2 linked regions of the Drosophila melanogaster genome follow. The protein of the gene in region 2 interacts with the protein of the main gene of each other region in a pairwise test. Each region holds a gene or a part of one and is shown on either strand. Other genes may lie near its edges. The genes, in order: GstT4 and CG8032.

Evidence for each region.
Region 1: the proteins of CG8032 (region 2) and GstT4 interact in a two-hybrid assay, tested with the Drosophila melanogaster proteins (one large-scale study listed by BioGRID).

The regions. Positions count from the first base shown.
Region 1 is NC_004354.4:13,400,710-13,412,119, reverse strand, and holds GstT4 (glutathione S transferase T4), read right to left. Parts: upstream 7,372-11,410; 5' UTR 7,154-7,371; coding exon 7,036-7,153; intron 3,833-7,035; coding exon 3,546-3,832; intron 3,465-3,545; coding exon 3,329-3,464; intron 3,258-3,328; coding exon 3,085-3,257; 3' UTR 2,797-3,084; downstream 1-2,796. Other genes in the region: CG1998 (uncharacterized protein), read left to right, coding at 695-768, 1,603-1,778, 1,852-2,306, 2,371-2,521; CG12725 (uncharacterized protein), read left to right, coding at 9,406-9,897.
Region 2 is NT_033777.3:8,660,462-8,670,595, reverse strand, and holds CG8032 (uncharacterized protein), read right to left. Parts: upstream 6,482-10,134; 5' UTR 6,114-6,481; coding exon 5,847-6,113; intron 5,535-5,846; exon of another isoform or gene 5,264-5,534; intron 5,160-5,263; coding exon 4,754-5,159; intron 4,699-4,753; coding exon 3,924-4,698; intron 3,862-3,923; coding exon 3,741-3,861; intron 3,683-3,740; coding exon 3,500-3,682; 3' UTR 2,824-3,499; downstream 1-2,823. Other genes in the region: CG8036 (uncharacterized protein), read right to left, coding at 668-771; p (pink), read left to right, coding at 6,870-6,953, 7,036-7,536, 7,615-9,510.

The sequences.
Region 1 (11,410 bases), on a different chromosome or scaffold from region 2:
GCTGAAAATAGTTTTGGGGCAATGATTGCATTATTATAAGCTTATTGATATCATAATTTGTTTTTTTTTTTTTTGCTCAAAAATGCAAAATTTAAAATCCGCATTCTGAGTCGATAGCCCTTGTGACCTCAGAGTGGACCATTATATAAGAGTTGCATTAGATTTCACTATATTCCCAGGTGAAGAGAACGGAATAGTAATCAGCGTGTTTGTTTAGTTATTTAAGCGTATACTCTTCATTGCTATAGAATAATAGACAAATTGAAAGTGCAATCATGAAATAGGCTTTCTAAGGCGAAAATCTACTCGAATTGCCTTTATGAACGAGGTTAGCATAGCATACCATAGATTTCTAGATCACAAACGACATAGAAGGGCATCCAAAGTTCGGTTTTCTGCTTTCTTCCCCACACTCTCTCTTTCTCATTTTTTTTTTTTGGCGAGAGTGTGGAACTAAGTTGAGCTTCGGTTTTGTGAGCTGCGCTTTTCCCTGCGATCAAAATCGCCAGTTGCCTTTGCGACGCTCAGCAGCGAAGACACGCGATTTGCGTGAAGAAAGCGAGAGAGAGAGAGAGAGAGAGAGCGAAGAATCGGGAGAAAGCCAATTCTGCAAGAACCAGAACATATACATATACACACTGAGATTACGAGCCATGGAGGATAAATTCATGGAGGTTTCTTATATCTATGCCAGGCATCTGCAGAGCTTTTGGGGAGCCTCCGGTGATTTCTGGCAGTCGCAGTGGGACAAATTCATCGACTCGTTCGGTAAGTGAATCTAACAAGTATCATATCCAAAACAAAGGGTAAAAGAATGGATAAGTTGACAGGTAAACTTTGCTCCTCTCTTTGTGTACATTGTGTACATGGGCGATACTGTGCAAATTGCAACTCTCAGCCACTGGGCGACACAGCAAAATGTCAACAACAACTGTTTTGTTTACTAATTCCATCGCACAGACACAGAGATACGGGCACAAAGATACAAAGAGACACATGCAAGAGATACAGATACAAATGCAACCAGAAGTGCTGCCAATTAGGCGAAATGAATCGCCGCGTTACTCACGCAAATTTGAATTCTTCAGCAAACAAATGTTTAGTACTCACACACCCCAATCGGGTTAGCCACACTTATTATTTAACCATAACTCTGTTTGGCCAGAGTAAATACGTTAATTCACGCATTGCACAATGGGCTCAATGTTCCGGGCTCATCGGTTAACCGATTTTGCTTAAGCTCAAAGTCAGAAGCTGAGTAAACAGGGTTCATAGGCCCGTTTTATTGCATTTTCCTTACAGCGTTTACAATTTACAATTCACACGATTCATTGCGTTAAGAACTTTACTTAAGCCACTTATCTTTATGGGTTTATTTGCCTGCTTTTTTTTACGGTCTACATATGATTTATATCCAGCTGTTGCTTGGATATTTCTTTATACATTTATAGATTTAATAACATCCATTCTCATATGAATCAATTCACTATGCATCTATTTAAATTTTGGATTCCAATTATAACTTTGCATACTTTAAGGCATCACTTATAGACTCTTTTATCGCCAGCTATTAATTCAATTTGAAATAAACAAATCTTCCAGGCGACGAGCCCATGGTTCTTTGGGTCTTCGGTACCACCATATTCACGATGCTCGTCTACTGGACCGTGGGCACACTGTACACCTTCATGGACCTGACCAATCGGCCCGCCTGTCTGCGCAAGTACAAGATCCAGCCGGGCACCAATGAGCCCGTGGAGGTTCGTCGTCTGCTAAAGGTAATGCAATCGATCGATCGATCGAGAAATTTATATTCAATTGATCCCACTGTCTGACCCCTCCGAATTCCAGGTGATCTGGTGCGTGGTCTGCAACCAGATATTCGTGGGCATACCATTGGCCTATGCCAGCTATCGACTAATGGAGATCCGTGGACTGAGCGACATTCGTGACCTGCCCACATTCCACTGGGTCTGCTTTGAGCTGACCGTGTGCATCCTGATGGAGGAGCTGGGATTCTACTATTCGCACCGTCTGCTGCACCACAAGCACATCTACAAGTACATCCATAAGCAGCATCATGAGTGGACGGCCCCCATCTCGGTGACGGCCATCTATTGCCATCCCATTGAGCACATCTTTAGCAACCTGTTGCCGCCCTTCCTGGGCGTCTTTCTCATGGGCAGCCATGTGGCCACCGCGTGGCTGTGGTTCGCCCTGGCCATCCTTTCAACACTCAACGCCCACTCCGGCTATCATCTGCCGTTCTTTCCCAGTCCCGAGGCGCATGATTTTCACCATTTAAAGTAATTGATTGGCAACTAGTGATATAAACTAGGCTAATATGCTGTTTTCCTTGCCAACCGACAGATTCAACAACTGTTTCGGCGTGCTGGGCGTCTTGGATCGCCTCCATGGCACCGATTCCCTTTTCCGGGCCACCAAGTCGTATGCGCGACACATCATGATGCTGAGCTTCAAGCCGCCGCGCGATGCATTCCCCGATCCGACGATGAAGTAAAGCGGCGAAGTGAAAGTTCTCTTGTGCATGGGCAGCAAGCATTTCTCAATCTGTGTATACAAATTTCAATTGTGATATGACCAGGCAGATCCTATTTTGTACACCTCATATATAGACGTATGGTGCAGACACACCCCTAGTATTCCGCACAACCGCGAGCACCGCTCCCAGAGCGAATCCACCCCCCAACACAAATGTTAATCGAGTCGAATAAAGCGTAAATGTAAATGTATGGCATCTTTCTGTTCTATGTTCGCGAAAAAAAGTCGATATTTAAACAAACATAAGCGTACTTTATATACGAATAATTAAAATACATAATTAACAACTAAGTTTATATATAAGATTATAAGTTTTTCTCGTACGTTTAAACAGATGAGCATTACGTGACACAAATGGTATTGTTAAAACAAGTGTGATGGAAAGGCTAAGACTTATTGGATAGGAAGAGCAAGTATAATCACAAAAATGCAATAGTTGTAGCGCAAAAAAAAAAAAAATAATCTGGTTAAATAGTCGATTGCCTTAGGGAACTAAACAATATTGGCGGCGGACGGTCCTAGCTATTGCTTCACCGCCTGGGCGACGCCCTGCTGCTGACCACTGCCACTGCCCTTCAGCTTGGCCTCGAACTCGCCCAGCACCTCCTTGTAGTGGGGACCCAGCTCCTCGCGCACCGTTTCATACCAACGCGCCAGCTTGTTGCGATTCTGGAACGCATTGTAGCCAATGGATTCTGCGAAGCAGGCATATGCCAAGGCATTAGTATCAGGTGCGCCAATGGATTTCTTGTATTCTTCTACTCACTCGGCTGATCGATTTCGCAGATGGCGCTGAGATCCGCATACGAAATGTTGTCGCCCATCATGAACTTGCGGGAGTTGAGGAATAGCTGTTCGAACTCGTTGAGCGTGTGCTCCAGCTGCTTGCTGGCGAGATTCACCTGTAAATAACCATGGACAGCGATTAGTTTTGGGCATTGGAGCACAGCATGAGGGATGAGGGATGAGGTGCCGCCACCTACCGCATTATCGGCTGGCCGGGTCTTTTGCAGATACGGCACCAGCCACTTTTGCTGGAAATACTCCGTGGTGGCCACACCCATGTTGGTCTGCTGCCAGGCCAGGTACTCATCGATGCGACTACGGCCGAGATGTCGTCGCGGATACCAGTGCTCCGGCACCAACTTTTCGCGTGCCAGATGCCGGAAGATGGCCACATTCTCGGACAGCTGGTAGCCGTGATCCGTGATCGCCGGCAGCTTGCGGAACCGGTTCACATTGTCCCGGAACTCGCCAGTCAGGTGCTCGCCTGGAATCGGGAAATCAAGGGAAAGGAAAAGGAGAGGGTTTCTATTAACTTCAACAATTTCCAGATGACCTTGTTTATAAGCTTAGTAGTGAACCAATCACATATAATTAGCACATTAATATACCATTATAAATTGAAAGAGACAGCCTTTTATATTAGGTAATATCTATATATATTTTTTAATTTATTAAAGCTGTCATATATATGCATGTATCTACAATGCGCATATCTGTAAACAAACACCAATTTCTTCCCTAATTAAAAAGCTGTTTTTATTTTTAACTTTTAAGTTGCGTGTTTTGGTCTTCCGATCGCCTGATCCCAACGAGATATTGCTACACAGCAACAGGTGCCCCGCCGAATCACGGCCCGAATTCGAGAAACCTGATAAGGAACGATAAGGGAACTGAAATCGGGAATCGCAATTGGAATTGAAAATGTGGAACTTAATGCCCTCAAAAGAGGGGCGTGTCTGGCCGGCGAAAGTCAAAGTCATTGTCAATGTCGCCTGTTTGGAGCCATTTAGTTTCTGTTTAGGTTTCTGCTTCTGTTGTTTTTTCCTGCCCACCAAGGTCATCGTGGGCGTGAGGGCAGTCAGTGGTGTCATATAGAAAAGGGGTTCGTTCCGCGGAGGAGTGACAAATCGTGCGGCACTTGCGAGGCCTCCGGCTCTAAAAATACCCGTTCTGGTTTAAGTATTTGCCATCTGGATGGGTGAGCACAAATACACATCATGATTTCTGGTGTGAATATAGCAAAGAAATTAACTGGGCAAATGTGGCTTGTGGAAAGCTAATTGATTAGTCAGCAGCGGCAGTTAGTGGCAAACTGTGATTCCCGACATCAGCTGATTAGATTGGGAATTGGCGGCGGCAATTTTTCAATTTTATAATTGCTGCCATTTGGAAAATTAAAGCCACCATATGCTGGCCTCCATCCAGGCAAAGGGCGATTCGTGAGAGATTCGTGATTGACTGGCTGATCAAGATCTGAGTTGATGGTTGGTAGCTGACCCAGGGATCGCAATAGAAAGGGCAGCCGGAAGCTCGTGAGGGTCATTATCGCAGTTGCATTGTGACAGTCAATTAATCTATATGGCCAGGAGCTAATTAAAAGAGCTGCTCTTATCTCTGGTAGCTTATTACCCATCGTTATTCATAAACTATAATCTTTGTAAATTCCAATATCAGCGTATATAGTATAATATTCTCTTCGTTTCATATTCCCATCGAGCAACTAACCCGTCTAACCTGCTCCGATCTCTAGGGACTCTAGTATCTTGTATCTGAGCCCATGGAGTGCAGTCAAAATCGTTACGGTTACTTTTAGAAAGGTATACAACCTGCATACCCATAACCTTATATGACCTCTGGGAACTCAGCTTGAAGACCACAGATTGCTTGGCAAATCGGTAGGCCCACTCGTAGATAACAATCTGAAGGGCATACCGAATTGGGTTGGAAAATATCATTGTTTATGATGTTAATAGCCCAATCGAGAGCTCTATTCGATTTCCACTTGATCCGAATTGCAGTGAAGCTCGTAAACTCCCCGCCAGATTAGATTCCTTGCGTCATGCTCGGACCGGCATAAAAAACCGGGTGAGCCGAGCACCAGTGCTAGTGAAGCTAGTGCAGCTAGCTCCACTCTATGAATGTGTGTGCATGTGTGCTGAAACTACTGAAAGTGCTTGCCCCCGCCTCGGAGTCTTTAACCTCCACAAGGTTGTCTTGTTGCCTCCACTCGCGTGCAGCGACGACTCTGATTTCTAAGCGAACTAACTGGCTCACCGGAGTGCAAAGTCCAAGTGCCAGCACCAACCAATATATTGTACATATATAGAAAAAGAAAAGAAAAAACAAAAACAAAAAAGGCAGGCCTGTCTGGGAATCGAACATTGTATCGAGGAGTTGGGGGAGCTCTCCTTGGGATTAGCATAGTAGTTGATATCCCAGTATATACCTATTTATGTGGCTATCAACTTACGCGATGCCAAAGCGTTGACGTCAACGCGAGACGACATTATCCACATATCGCAATTATATATGCAGCCGTTAATGTGGCCGCTGATTGCATCCTCGCATCAATTCTGCACTTTATGGCATTTCCGCCAACCTTGACCAAGTGGAGAACGACCAAGACGAGGTGTGAAGACCCTCCTTACCTTAGCTCCATTCCTAAATTGATACCATATGCGAATCATCGAAAAGTGCTAAGCGCACGCGCAGCTTGGCAAATAGTAAAACCACATCCAACAAATGATGAAGGAAAACAAAACTCAAGCGAATGGTAATGGAAATAACAAAGTGGCTAACAAAACGCTGGATCTCATCGAAAATTTGATAAGTGTCCCAGTTTGGCGAGCAGGTGATAAAACCAGCGCAAAGATCGGTTTCTAAATTCTCGTGCGGAGTAAACACGAGCAAAGTGCACTGCGAATTTAAGGTACAGTACTGAATCTATACTATTGAATCAAGAATAATATATAGTATGTACATATATTGTATATTTTTGAAACCCATATTTGAGTTTGTAGTTTGTTTGCCCTGCGATAAAAGCGTGAATAGAAGGCAATTAGCCGGTTTTCTTTTTTTTTTTTGGATGCCCCCAAAGGCTAAGATTATCTGTAAACACGTTCAAAGTGCGACTGCTCAATAATGCTCGAACACTTCTGCAAAAAAAAAAAATATAATTATTTTGCACACACTTTCTAAGGAATCCTCACGTTCGTTTCGGGATTCCTTTTAATCTTATCTATCATTTGCTAAGAAATTATTTTTGAGAACAATCACGTTTGCATTGAACTCATATGTACATATGTATGTACAATACATATGTTCGTCTAATCTCGCCATGTTCCACAGTTCCTCAATTGTTTTCGAATGGAGTGACACTATTTCAAAAACGACGTCTGCCCGCTTTCGCCTTGGAAACTTTTCGTTTGGATTGTGGAATTTTTAACGAGCGGAAAATTTATTTGGAAACTCACTCGCCGACTCGAAAAATATCGAAAACAAAGGGCAGCATAAATGCATAGGAATGTGTTCGTCGGTCGGTCGGTTGGTCGGTTGGTCGGTTGGTCGGTTGGTTCGACCTTTGGGCCCTTATAGATGTGGCTGGTCTTATAGATGTGGCTGTGTGTGCCACCGCTCACGTACTCCCTGCCCACCACCACTCCCTTCTTAACAGCGAGTACTACTCACCTTTGAGCATCGATATGGGTATGGCCTCGAAGGGGATCTTGGAGGCCTCCAGGAGGATGTAGAGCGCCCGGCTCGATTGGTTCAGGAAATCGAAGTAGAACTTGAGTGGCTGCGACATCTCGTTGATATATACTAATATATATATATTCCAACTATATACAGTGTGCTCTCTCCAAGTGACTAGAGTGGGTGCGAAAAAAAAAGTTGTGTAGGCACTTCAATGCACTGCAGTACAATCCAAAATTCGAAATTCCAGATCGGGGGATTCAAATCGAAACTGAGATCAGATCGCTTTGGAACCGTATCGCTGGACTTTTGCTGCTAGACTGAGCTCCGCAGCGCCGTCGCTGCGACATTTTAAACGCAATGCCGCTGCGTCGACGCCGACTGCGCAGCAAACTGGTGGGTGGGGTGAGGTGGTGTGTGGTGTATGGTGTATGGTGTATGGCGTTTGGTGTACGGTGTGTGGTGTGTGTGAAGTATTAGGGGAGGGGTGAACGGGGCGCATTCATTAAATGCGCCGCAAAAACAAGCCAGCGGAGCAGCGTTGCGATCACAACAAGATGCTAACAAAAAAAAAAAAAAAAAAGAGAAAAAAACAAAGCGAACACAAAAACAAAAACAGAGACAAAAAAGACCGGCTTCTTGTGCATATGTACATTGTATATGGTGCCCCCACTGCTGCTCCTCTGCTCCGCCTCTGCTGACACTGGCGCTACCCTTTCGCTGAGATCGAGACATTGCGACTGCATGCCCCTTTGAAAAGAGGGTGTGGCCCACAGCGAAAAGAGAGCGGGATATGCAAAACTTACCTATCGTAACTCGGGTATTACCAATCGGATGGTGGTGAAAATTGGTACCAGGTTTTATTACTCATTTTCTTGGCCGTATACCAAAATTCATACTAAAACTTACATAAATGCGATAGTTACAAGCAGCTTATATTTTAACCATAAAGTCATATAGAGTCCATATAGCTTCCCTTGCCGCTATTAAACTCGATGCATTTACTCAGGGCTTAACGAACACTTGGCTTAAATCCATGTGTTAGGGCTTTCCCAATTTTCGATAGGGTATTTCAAGTGTGCCTAGCTGTTCGATTTTATCGCTGTTTGTTTTGCTTTTAGTATTTTGTTGCTGCTGCGGCTTTTCTTGTTTTTGTTTTGCTGGTTTCTTTTTGACTCGGTATTCGGCTCTTTCGCCTTTGTACTGGACTAGCTTTGATATATTCGTGCGTTATCTGGCGACGATTTCCAATCAGAAAATGCTTAGTATTAATAAGTGTTTTGAGGATCCCAGCGATCCCAAGCCCCACAGCACCCCACTAAACGAATCTACGATGTGCGGTGTTATCTTGTTTACCAAAAACGGGGCCAATAACAGAAAATACCAACAAGAACAAGAAACACAACTATACCTTCCATATCGGTCAGCGAATTGTTTTTGTTCAACTGTTGAGCTGATAAAACTGGGCCGAAGTGCCAGCCAAAGTGCCTTGTCTTCGGATGTATCTGTATCTCTAAGATGCATTCGCTGTCACAAGTGTACGCTGTCCGTACAAGGTGGCACAACAGTTGGCACAAAGATACTTGCCACGATAATGGCTCAATAGAGTGCACTACACTTCACTTTTGATCAGCTGTTCATTTCGTGCATTTTCAGAAATTTCGCTATGATTATCCTATAAAAAATAGTTAATTTCTATTGCTAATTATTTAACTTACTAACTTAAAAAGTTGGAAACATTTAATTTTTTATATTTATTTTTGAAAGACGACCTTGGCAGCTGAAAATTATGGCATCGAATTCGTCAGAGGTTCATATGAATCGCGGAGGAGAGCAAACCGCGCTGAACGGGTCACGCCTTCACATTAAAGGCTTTTCTTAGTACCTCGCCAAGGATCGATTTGCTCAATGTATTCACGTTCTGGTCCTTGGAGGCCACGTGGCCGCTGGGCAGTGGAGCCCCGCTCTTATGAGTTTTCTCTACCTGTATTGATTGAAAATATTTTACTTTCACGTCGAAATCAAAAATAGTGACTATTCAAAGAATATGCAACTGTTGTGGGTTAAAGCGCGAAAATGAATTTTTATTAAATTGGAATAGCCGAATATATCAACTTCAGGGTTGCCAATTGCTCCTTATGAAATTCGATTGGAGAATCGACAAAGGAAATCAAATAAGGTAATCAAGGATGCCATTAAATTTAACTCGCACTAGCATTCGCATGACGACGACAGTTTGATAGGGGATTCCAAGAGCAAACTTTTATCCGAACGAAGCAAAACTTAGAGCTTGTGTATAAAACGAAAAAAGTTGCAGTTCGACGTGCCAGATACATATATATATATATATATATCTGGATTAGGATGCGTAAGATGCAAGTTCTAGTTCAGACGAGCGACGGCAAGAAGACGGTTTACGATGTGGATCGCTTCGGAACGGTGGCCAACCTGAAGGCACGGATCGGGCGAGCCATGTCCGTGCCCATGGGCTTCAGTCGGCTGTCCTACAAGGGTCGCGAGCTGTCCAATCAGAGCATACTGGAGGATGTGGGCCATAAGTCCATTCTGGATCTCACCTGGAAGCCGGTCGTCCTGACGCCCAAGCAATTGCGCGAAAAGAAGATTGGCAAGTTTAGCAAGTTCGGCTATGGCAGGAAAAACGATAGTGGTGAACATATGTCTACATTGATCGGCGGTTACCAGCAACGCATAGATCTGGAAAGTGACGATGATGAACTGGAGGCACAGGACTTGACTGAACTCGATTTGTTGTCCCTTAACTCCGATGATTCACTGGTCAACAACCAGACGGAGCTAGAGCCGATTGCTCCATTGAATTTCTCTGGATCTGATTAAGAAGGCTACGAAGAACGACAATAAGCAGTAGACTGTATTAAATAATCTTCAATTCAAATGACTGCGCTCATTTCATTTCAAAGTTCCTTCCAATGATTTTCAAAATACAAGCAGAACGGGTCTTAGAACAAATGCTTTATTTAAGTTGCATTATAAAAAAAAAATTCGAGAATACCACCCATTTACGAATCATTTAAAGTAATTTAAAGTAATTTCGAATTTGTTTACACTCAAGCAAATAATTAACGTCTCATGGCCAATGCCATAAAAATTCTTAAAATTTATGTATTATTTATGGACTGCATGGTATTCCTGAAAAGCTGAACTGTAGAACGAAAGCCATTTAACTCAAAAAATATTTATAAATATAGTTTAAATACATTCAACTGGTTTTTTTTTTTTTTTTTTTTTTTTTTTTTTTTTATTCATGATGATGTTTTTATTATTTGATCAACGCACTGTTACCCATGCGGCAACTTAATTTGATCTGCTTAAATTATTTTATTTTACAATGTGTCTTGGTTACTTAAGACTAACAGATTTTTAATCCTAAAAATGATAGGGAGAATTATAATAGTTGATATAACATAGTAATTATTATTTATTTGATTATTCTAATGAATTTTAAAACTAAGACTTTCTAGGTCAAAACCAGGTTAGGGAGGTCATGAGGGTGGTGATTCAACTGGTAAAACATAATTCGATATCCTGCAACTCTGTGATATATTTTAGCATACTTTTGTGCTGACTATTTAATGAGTTGCCCTCCCCCGTCCGCTACCAACCGATAGATGGCGCTTACAATTCTGTTGAGGTGTCGAACTTTAAATTTCATAATGTAACTTAGCCAAATATAGGATACTGATTGTTTTTCTTTAGTTTAAATGAAAAATGCAAACATATTCAAACTGTATAAGGTTGAAAATATCGTATACTTATCAATAAAAGTGTACGAATAATAACCATTTGCAGCCAAATCGTTGTGAGCATAAGTTCTTGATTTTTGTCATCGTTTATTCATCGCTTGGTTCGCTTATCAACTAGGTGTTACAGATATAGTATACAGCTTGATTCGGGTTTAGTATCTACAGCCTAGGCCTAGGTTCTACTGACGGGTTCAGGTTCAGATTAGCTTTAGTCACAGCTCAGCTCGGCTGCTGCCCTCGTGCCTCTCGTGCCGCTTTTACCTCCAAGAACGCTTCGATCACTTACTCACTAATAAATGCATTTCGCCTCCGGTACGTTTTCAATTAATTCCCGTCACTTGGATGGGGGAATTCTCGATCTCTTTATACTAGTCCTAAAATTTGTAGTTGGTAATTTTACCTTGCTTTCGATGCTGCTTGGAAGTAAAAGCGCAAAAAGACGATTCATAGCTTTAGATAAAGTAAAAAAAAAAAAAATATATATATATATATCTAAAGGCGCACAACTAAAAATATGAAAATAATTAGGGAAACTATAAATAACATTGAACCAGTTGGAATTATGTACAATTCGAATTCCTGACATA
Region 2 (10,134 bases):
CCCTCTCTTTCCAATTCCACTCCCGTCACAAGCTGTGCTTTCCAACACTTGTATGTACATATGTACATACGTATATTAAATGCCTCTGTTTGATATGTAAGTATGTTTGTTTTTACCCCATGTACATATGTATGTGCTTTCGGCGTTTTGAACGCCACGCACAAAACAAAAGCAAAAGAAATTAAAAGGCAGTAAGAAAAACCTAACGTTTCAAGGTTGTCTAAGGTCAAAAAATATTAGCTCACAATTTAAGGTAGGTGAACGCGGCTTATCACTGAGCACGCAGGCAGGGCAACAAATTCGCAAATTCACTAAAGCTACTGGACAACACGTGGGTTGGCAACTGAATCCCAGGAGGGGTCACTAAAGGAACCGGTCTTCCCATATTTTACTTCTCACATTCATACAAACATAGATGCATAACTATGTATATGCGTAACTATTTTTGTTTTATTTTCTTTTGTAATGTTTCAAAACACATACATATGTATGTATGTATTTAGCAGCCCCCTCAAAAACTTTTTCGCACCCACCCTGGAAATGGAGGGGGTCACCTTTGAAGCAACAAGTGCAAGGTGCACAACTTTTAAAATTCACATCTACACAAACAAATCTAAATACGCACACTTTAATATGCCTATGGACTTTCAGTTATTGATAAACTTACCCCGATTTGGAGGCCTGGGTGGCGTTGATAGAGTGAATTCGCAGTTTCTGGGCCAGATCTTTCAGATCCTGGACGGTCTTAGCTTCGGGCTTGTGGTACGACATCTTTGAAATGCGAATGTAAATTGGATCCGAACAAATGCGGTTTTTGATATGTTGCACAACAAAACTCGGGAGTTTCGGATTCGTTAGCCAAAGGGTGACTCCTCTATGTTTGCAATAGACAGACAAGAGTATCGACGTGGTGGATAAGTAGCTCGAGTCGGAGTTATCAACGGACCACTGCTGCCGGCTTCTGGGAACGAACTGCTCTCGTCGCCGGCACTTCGGTCGCTTTTACGCTGTGGGGGCTCAATCTTGGGAGCGGACTCGCAAAGTATCGGTATCGTCTATCGTCGGCGCTGGAACGAGATGGATATATGTATAAATATGGCATCTTTGCTCGCACACCACCCCTTTATCGGTGCACAGCTGTGGGTGGGTAACTAGTTAGTTTCAAATAGTGCATTGCTGCCTTTCTAAATTCATGCACAATTTTGGTCTAAAATTAAGCCATGAACAGTTGTACCTGAATATTTTCTCATTAAGATTTACAATGCTTTAGTATTTAATATAAGTTTACAAGAATTTAAGGTCCTATTTTTCTGGCCGCGAGTATTAAAGAGCAGCGGTGTTTAAGAGAAGTGCCCTCTCTTTTTGTCACTTTCCCCACCTCGCTCCTGAACAAAAGGTGAATTAGCCGCAAGCGAATTTAACCTTCGATAGCTCAGTTGGTAGAGCGGTGGACTGTAGTTGGAAAAACATGCAATAGAAATCCATAGGTCGCTGGTTCAAATCCGGCTCGAAGGATCGAAAAGATATAAATACCTTTTTTTTATATATTTTGTAGTGCACATACCTTTTTTTTTATATATTTTGTAGTGCACAATTTAAATCAATTTAATTCATCTACAGACATTCAGAATATAACTGAGCTGTTTAAACTAAATAATATAAGAAGGATTTTATTTGGAAGAAATAAACCGTAACTAAATTGATATAGTTTGTGAAAAGCGCCTAGGCTATTAGGCTTGGAAACTATAGGCTTACTGCAATGGACTGAATAGAGAAAGTTGATCAATTTTGTTTGACCTAAATAAGTAAAAATCAAAAATAAATAACCAAATACGGTGCATTTCGTTTGTGCGCATGCATAAAACGAACAACGGCCAAGTTTGAACTCAACCTTCGATAGCTCAGTTGGTAGAGCGGTGGACTGTAGTTGGAAAATTATGCAATAGAAATCCATAGGTCGCTGGTTCAAATCCGGCTCGAAGGATTTTTTGTAATTTTTTGTAATATCCAATTCGTTTTTGTTTTTATAGTAGCACCCGTACCCCATAAAAAATATATAAAATAGTATGCAATTATAAACATGTAGATGCAAAAGACATTTTATAAACACAATGTTATATAAAATGAATAATAATTTGAAGAATATCAATTTTAAAAACACGTGAAAATGAACATGTCTTACTTTACGCGTACATCAATATATTATTTAATTTTAGCTTAGCAACAATCAAAAGAAAAGGTATTTGAACGACATGGCATATGCTGTCCGTGACCTCAATCCATTAAAAGCTAAAATACGCATTAATTAAACCGATTACCAACAAAAGTTTATTGAAGAGTCGCGATGAATCGGATACCCGTTGTTTAACCTACTCCCCAGCACGCCCCCTTCGATAGCTCAGTTGGTAGAGCGGTGGACTGTAGTTGGAAAACATGCAATAGAAATCCATAGGTCGCTGGTTCAAATCCGGCTCGAAGGATTTTTTGTCGAATTTTTTACAAGCCATTTTTAATGCATTCTTGAATTCAGCTTAGTCAATCCTTTTCATTTCCACCTACCTTATCCTTATTAGCTTTTTTACCACACCTTAGCTAAGTTCGAGTAAATGTATCCACAAAAAATTTACGAGTGCAATGCGAAAGACTTTCAAATAATTTAGGATATCTACATATGTTTTGAATTATAGACTTTTGTTGGCCTAAAACCAAAAGCACAACTTGATTTTTATAATACAGATCTCTCCCCATCGTTAAAAAATCAAAACTTTCTTCGACTTGTGTTTTACTATTTAAAATTATACATTTTCATTCAATAATTTATTTATTTAATTTATTTATTTATGCGTACAAGTCGATATTTTTGTCACAAATACAAATAAATATGCAGATCCAAGTGTTAGAACGGACTTATGAATACCAACTTTTCCTTTTCCGCCTTAAAGAGTCAACCAATGCATAATTTAGTTAGCAAAATAGTTAACGTTAACAATAGTTACTTTCAAATATACATTAGTTGCACTCATTGTTCGATCGTCTTAGTGTCAACCTTTTGGTGCAACCTTTTCTACGTTAAATACGAATTTATAAAAATAGGCAATATATTTGTATTCATACACTTATGGTTGCTAATCGGTAATTAGGTCTAAACAACATTATGTCTTTGTGCACACTTTTTCGTCCAAGTACAGTGAAAGCTGCTGCGGGTGCACGGTCTGTTCGAGTTGGCAGCACATTGATCAGCTCAGCTAATTCGTAACTTTTATTTATAGTAATGTACAAGCGGGTTCCAAATAAATTACAAAATAATTGCATCAACAAAATAAAACAAATGCTCACAAGGGATGTACAAAAATGAGTTAAATCGTTTTACGACGCTAGCAAAATAAATTACAATCGAACAAATTAAATATCACTAGCTAAAAAGCGTTTAAAGAGTGTACAAAATAACGTTAATAAATTATAATACAAAATCGATGAGTGGTCGTTGATTAGCTTAGACTCAGTCCAGGGCAATGCCCTGTATCCAGGCGCTCAGATCACTGCCGTCCGACTCCATGATGATTTCGTCTGGCTCATCGCTCGCCAGCAAATGCTGCGCTGCCGTCCGTCCGCTCAAATAGGCGCCGTGTACGGTAGAGTAGAAACTGGAATGGGTGTGCTCTCCGGCAAAGACTATGGCGGGCTGGGGAAATATATTAAAATGTGAACAATTGCCGGGGAAGCAAGCTTGTAGAACTGACCTTCATGGCTTGGGGCGTGGCATAGAGGGGCTGGGCGAGGTTCTCGATGTCCTCCTGAGTTGCGCCCACCGGTATTGAGGTGTATGCGCCACCGGTGAAGTCCTGCGACTTCCAACTGGTACTACAAATAGATTTTTCTTTAATATACAACATTCTTAACCAAATAATGTTTCTTTGCCTTACCAAACACATCGCTTTGGCTTGGGCACGTAAGGATCCTGCAGAAAGTTCCTAAGTATTTCCGTACACTTTTCAGCCACTGCCTCATGGTCGAGCTTCTCCATGTACTCCGCCTCCCGGCCCGAGACCCAGCCCAAGAGCAGCGTGTCCGTCACCTTGGCAAACGAATATATCTTCTTGAACCAATTCTTGCTGAGATACGCTTCGCTGGCCAGCTCCTCCTCGGAGCTGTTCATATCCCGCTTATCGTCGTCCCACAATAGCATAATCTCTGATATATCGGCACTGAGGAATGGTCGCTCGTACTCCAAGAAGATCTTGTCCACGGTGCCGAACATGAGATTCTCGATGGACTCCTGTTTGTACTGCGGCAGCACAGGATCGAAGAGAGTGCGATGGGTGTTTTTCAGTACGCCTAGCGGTATGGTGCATATCACATGGGCTGCATGGAACACTCGACCGTCCTCGCAATCTATGCGCACGTTGCCTGCAGGATAATCACAATTGCTGCTGGTGTTGGACTCCACGGAGGCGCCACGAATTTCCCCCGTCGGCACTTCCGTCACCGTTCGTTCAGAGTCGTCTGAATGCTCGTCCTCCGAGTTCTCGTCGACTGTCTCCAGCCCAGTGAAGGTCTTTTTCCGCTTCCAGTGGATTTTCTTCACCGGGCATTTGGTCAGTATGGACTGCTTGGCTATCTGAGCACCCAGCGGTCGCAGAATAGAGCTATAACCAGTTGGCAACACTATATTGCCTCCTTGTAGCTCAGTGTAGCTGCCTAAAATAAAATATATATTCATATTGTATATACTTTATTTTTAGCTTAGCCTTACCAAGTTCGAGGAGATCCACCTCGTCCATGTTGTTGCAGCCGGTAATGCAGGTCTCTCGCTTGAGCAGGCAGTTAAATATGGATTGCTTGAGGCGTTTTTCCTTGGGATCCTGGACCCCGCTCAGATAGATTTCGATCTCATAGTTAATGTGCTCTCCCACGCTGTGTATATCCGGCGGCGGGCTGTACTGACACAGGAAATACTCATCGCACCGCCTCAGAAAGCAGACGTACGCCTCGTAGATCTCCTGAAGTATGTTAAAAGGCACCTGGTGCCCGTCCTCCGTGGTGGCCACCACCTTGTGCGGTTTCGGTACGTTGACCACGCTGACTAGACCATGTTGTACGGCCAGCTCAAAGATGGGATTGCCCAGAACGCCGTGTATCCAGTTGGCGCCAAGTTCTATCTGTGAAATAGAAGTGTTTAAATAGGAACATCTCAGATAAGTAGGCAAAGCTTAACATTTAACTTTCTAGTATAAAAAAGATAAGAACTGACCTATATTAGATAATTTAGGGGCGTAATTAGTACATGTGAAGTGAAACAATGTGGAAAACTGGAAAAATAATAAATTTTTCAGTCCCATAACTAAGACTACGTGATCGTTAGCCCGCAAACCCGTGAGTTTTTCAGGGCATTGCACTAGATACGTCATCATTGGCTTAATTCAGAAAACCCCTATCTAATCTGACAAACGTTGCCGAAGAAAGTTGTATAACAAATTTCTTGATAAGGTGCCGCCAAACCGATCAAAACTATGCTAATGAACGGAATGAAAATCGTGAGTAAGATTCACGACAGATGCAATTACATTAATTACCCCCATGTAAGCATATGTAACAAATAAAGCTAACAATAGGCAAATAGAGGGAACAGGAACATGTATAAAAATAGCTTTAATGAAAAGCGTGAACAGCTGACCGACTGCGCAGTCCGTGGAAAAATCTATAATCAACTGGCTGGGGCGAAGAATGTGTTACAACATGCTCGTGGTTTTTCCGAGTCGGAAGTGTTTTTCCTTTAATACCATATGGTCGCCTATGATGGTTTGTTTTGGTTTTTGGACTTGAGGGGGTTATATAACAAATGGTACCTTCTGATTATTGCTGAGCGGTATGGACACAATGCGTCCGCCCACCCGGCCCCGTGCCTCCAGAATAAGGAAATCGTCACAGCCGTTTTGCAAAAGGTGATTTGCAGCCGATAGGCCAGCCATTCCAGCTCCAATGATCACGATCTTAACGTTGGTATTATTCCCTGAAGTTTGCGGCTGATCCCCGGCTCCAGCAGACCCAATATTGGCCATACCCTCCTCCGTGGGCGAGGGAGCGGGTGTTACGGGCTCCTCCTTGTCGCCCATTGCTACACTTTGGCTTCTATGTACATAAGCGTTTTAATTGCGGATACCCGGTGTTTATTTGTTATTTTTCTAGTATCTTTCACGCCGCATTTCAATTTTTCTGCAGGTTTTTTCGCTTGGCGAGTCGCGCGACTGTTTTGACGTTTACTTGACAGTAGGTTTATGGGTTGGGGGAGGTAGCAGCGAACAGCTGTTCGGCTGGGTGGTAAATATCCAATTTTTTTTAGTAAACATTGTGTAATAATAGTTTTATTTTTATGTATGGGAGTTTGATAAGCGATTTTTTCAGAAAAACGTATTTTAATTGAAAGTTTGAAGGATAAGTTTTACGACAGCTGCTGGTCGCAGTATTGCCAGACTTGAAGCTTATAAGGGTAAACAAGCCAGCTGTCATTTTACAGCACTAAATGTATCGATACTTTAACGTCTGTGATTTCATGAAACTTTTGATTTTAATATACATTTCAAATTGAAGATTTGAATTGTTTTAATTAAGACACTAACAAGTTTATTACAAAGTATTTGAAATAAAAAGTAATCGCTCTAATCACACTCCACTTGTTATCGACCACCTGCCAGCACTAACAGAGCTGCCAGACAGTTCCAACGACCTATGTACACGAATTACTCGTCGCGCTGATAAAAACATAATTTTTGTAAATAAATGCATGCGATGTGCAATGCAATAACGTAATCGCGATTTCAAAGCGAGCTATGTGATTAACGAACGCTTCGGACAACGAAAAAGCCCACAAGATGGCCGACGCCTACTGCCTGACGAACTTTATTGATTTTTCGCTGTCGCTGTCGCTGCCGCTGAAACACCACAATCGCATCAAGGTGAGAGCAAGTCAATCCAATTGAGTCTCACCCGCAATTTGATAGCAGACCATTCACTAATGCACGCCCTTCCTCCCTTCAGTACACCTGCTTCGACATCTCCGACAGCTATATCATTTTCGGTGCCTCATCCGGATCGCTGTATCTGTTCAATCGGAACGGCAAGTTTCTGCTCTTGATACCAAACAAGCATGGAGCGATCACCAGCCTCAGCATATCGGCAAATAGCAAATATGTGGCTTTTGCAACGCAACGTTCGCTCATCTGTGTTTATGCCGTGAATTTGTCCGCGCAGGCCACGCCGCAGGTGATCTTTACGCACCTGGACCAGTCGGTGCAGGTTACATGCATCCACTGGACGCAGGACGAGAAGCAGTTCTACTATGGCGACTCTCGCGGACAAGTCAGCCTCGTGCTGCTCTCCTCGTTCATCGGACACAGTCTGCTGTTCAACATGACAGTGCATCCGCTGCTCTACCTGGACTCTCCGATCGTCCAAATTGATGATTTTGAGTACCTGCTGCTGGTGTCCAATTGCACCAAGTGCATTCTGTGCAACACTGAGTACGAGGATTACAAACAAGTGCGTTTGTGCGCTGGTGGCTAAGCCAATCTGATCACATACAATCGATAAACTTTTACCTCATGTCATATTTTTCAGATTGGTAACCGTCCGCGGGATGGAGCCTTTGGCGCCTGCTTTTTCGTCTCGCCGCAGGAGTCTTTGCAGCCATCTCGTATCTACTGCGCCCGACCAGGCAGTCGCGTGTGGGAGGTGGACTTTGAGGGCGAGGTGATACAGACGCACCAGTTCAAGACGGCCCTAGCCACCGCACCGGCAAGGATTCAGCGACCTGGTAGCGGAACAGACGAACTGGACGCCAATGCCGAGCTGCTGGACTATCAGCCGCAGAATCTGCAGTTCGCAAAGGTACAAAGGTTGAACGATGACTTTCTGCTGGCCTTTACAGAGCTGGGACTATATATATTTGATATTCGACGATCGGCGGTGGTGCTGTGGTCCAATCAGTTCGAGAGAATCGCCGACTGCCGCTCCTCGGGATCGGAGATCTTTGTGTTTACGCAGTCTGGCGCACTTTATAGTGTCCAGCTGCAGACGCTGCAATCCCACGCAGTTTCTCTTATACAACAATCCAAATTGCTGCCTTGCGCAAATCTACTACGCCAGCATGTCCGATATTTTGCGGACAAGGCTCGCGAGGATTACGAACTTAAACAGCTCAATCCGCTGAAACAACTACTCATCGAGCGGCAGGAGTACGAGCTGTTGAACGATATATCCGTGATATTTGATGCCATAACTCAGTGCACAGGCAGTGCTTTGGATACGCACAGCTCGGGAGGCAGTTCAGCCACCACTGAACGCAGTTTGAGCGGCGGAAGTTCATCGAGAGCTCCGCCGAAGGGAGTGTACGTGCTGGAAAACGCATTCTGCGACAACTTGAAGCAGCCTCTCAAAACGGGACACTTCAAGGATGCGCTGCTGACGGTAACTGGTAAATTCGGCAAGAACATCATAAAATACAAGTTCAATATTTTTGCCGAGGAACAGCAGCAGTTGGTCAGGGAACTAATTCCAGCCAGCGAGCGTTCTCTGCCGTTCAAGGACATCAAAGCACGCTACGAGTCGGGAAGCGAGGATCAGGAGGAGGAAATTGTTAGGCGCTGTAAGAAACCGGCTCCCCAGGTTCCCCACATCAGTCCCGAGGAGAAGACTCTTTACAACCTCTACCTGATCGCCAAGAGCGCCAAGTTTAGCCGGACGCAGTGCGTCGATCGTTATCGCGCTGTCTTCGACGAGTATGCAGCTGGCGAGCTGGTGAATCTGCTCGAGAAACTAGCCCAGGTGATGGTAGAGCATGGGGATACGCCTGACCAAGCGCAACGCAATTGCTACGAGATGTATTTCGATTACCTGGATCCGGAGATGATCTGGGAAGTGGACGACGCTACGCGGGATCACATAGCTGCCGGATTTGTGCTGCTAAATACTTCGCAAAATGCGGAGATTGTCAAGTGTGAGCATTGCTCGTTCCCCCTTCGCTTCGATACCTCCTGCCAGTATCATGAGCTTGGAGCAGTGCTCCTGCGATACTTCTGGTCCCGTGGCGAGCAACTGAAGTGCTTTGATGTTGTTCAATCAGTGCCGGCACTATTAGACGTCTTAGCTAAATTTTACCTAGCCGAACAGAATCTCACCAAAGTGGTGGCCATCGTCCTCAACTACGGACTCCCCGAACTTCTGGCTGACGTGGGCAAACAACTGAGCGTGAGCGCATGGGGCCGCTGCTTCGAACAGTTCGTGGAACTGCAACGCGGCGGACGACTGGTGTGCGCCAACTGCGAGTGCATATCTGGCGTGGAACAGGAACAGTTGGGACGCCACTTCTTCTACAACTGGAACTGTTTCCTCAACATCGCTCTGGATCACATGTCCGCCGGGGACACGCTGGCGCTGATCTTCAAGTGGAGCTCATACATTCCAAACGACGCTATCGACCGGGAGTTCTACTCCCGCTGCCTGCTCAAGGGCTGAACGATATGAAAATTATTATTATATACATATATACGATACTTTATAGCCATATTTATTGTTCCACTAACTAATCTCAAGCTAAGGCCAATACCAAAAGCATTTATTCTATATAAACATGTACATTCACAATATGTATATTCTGAAGACGAAAGTGAATGAATATATTCCAGAGTTCGAAACTTCGAATTTTAGTTTTCTTTAACAGACTTGGAGGGAACTTGAGTATGGAATTGTTTGGAAATTTTTAATACCTATTTTACGGCAATCACATATATATACTAAATTTCAAATTTAATTTGAATTTCTTTGACTTTTGCTTCAAATAACGAAATGGGGTACAGCGGCTGACGCCTTATAAACAACTATTCCTAAACATAAACACAAACATTTTTGGCCTTTAAGAAACAAAATTTAACTGCCCAGCCTCATTTCTCTTCCATTCAAAAAACAACAACAGCCTAGAAGGGATCGACGCGCCGAAAAAGCAAAAGTGAAAAAATTCAATTTGAATTTCATAGACCGCGAGACGAGGATATAGATCTGGCAACGCCCTTGCCGGAGTCTTTGCCAGTAACCGCCGCCGAGAGCCCAGGTTGGAGTCTCTGCTCTACCTCCACCGACCGC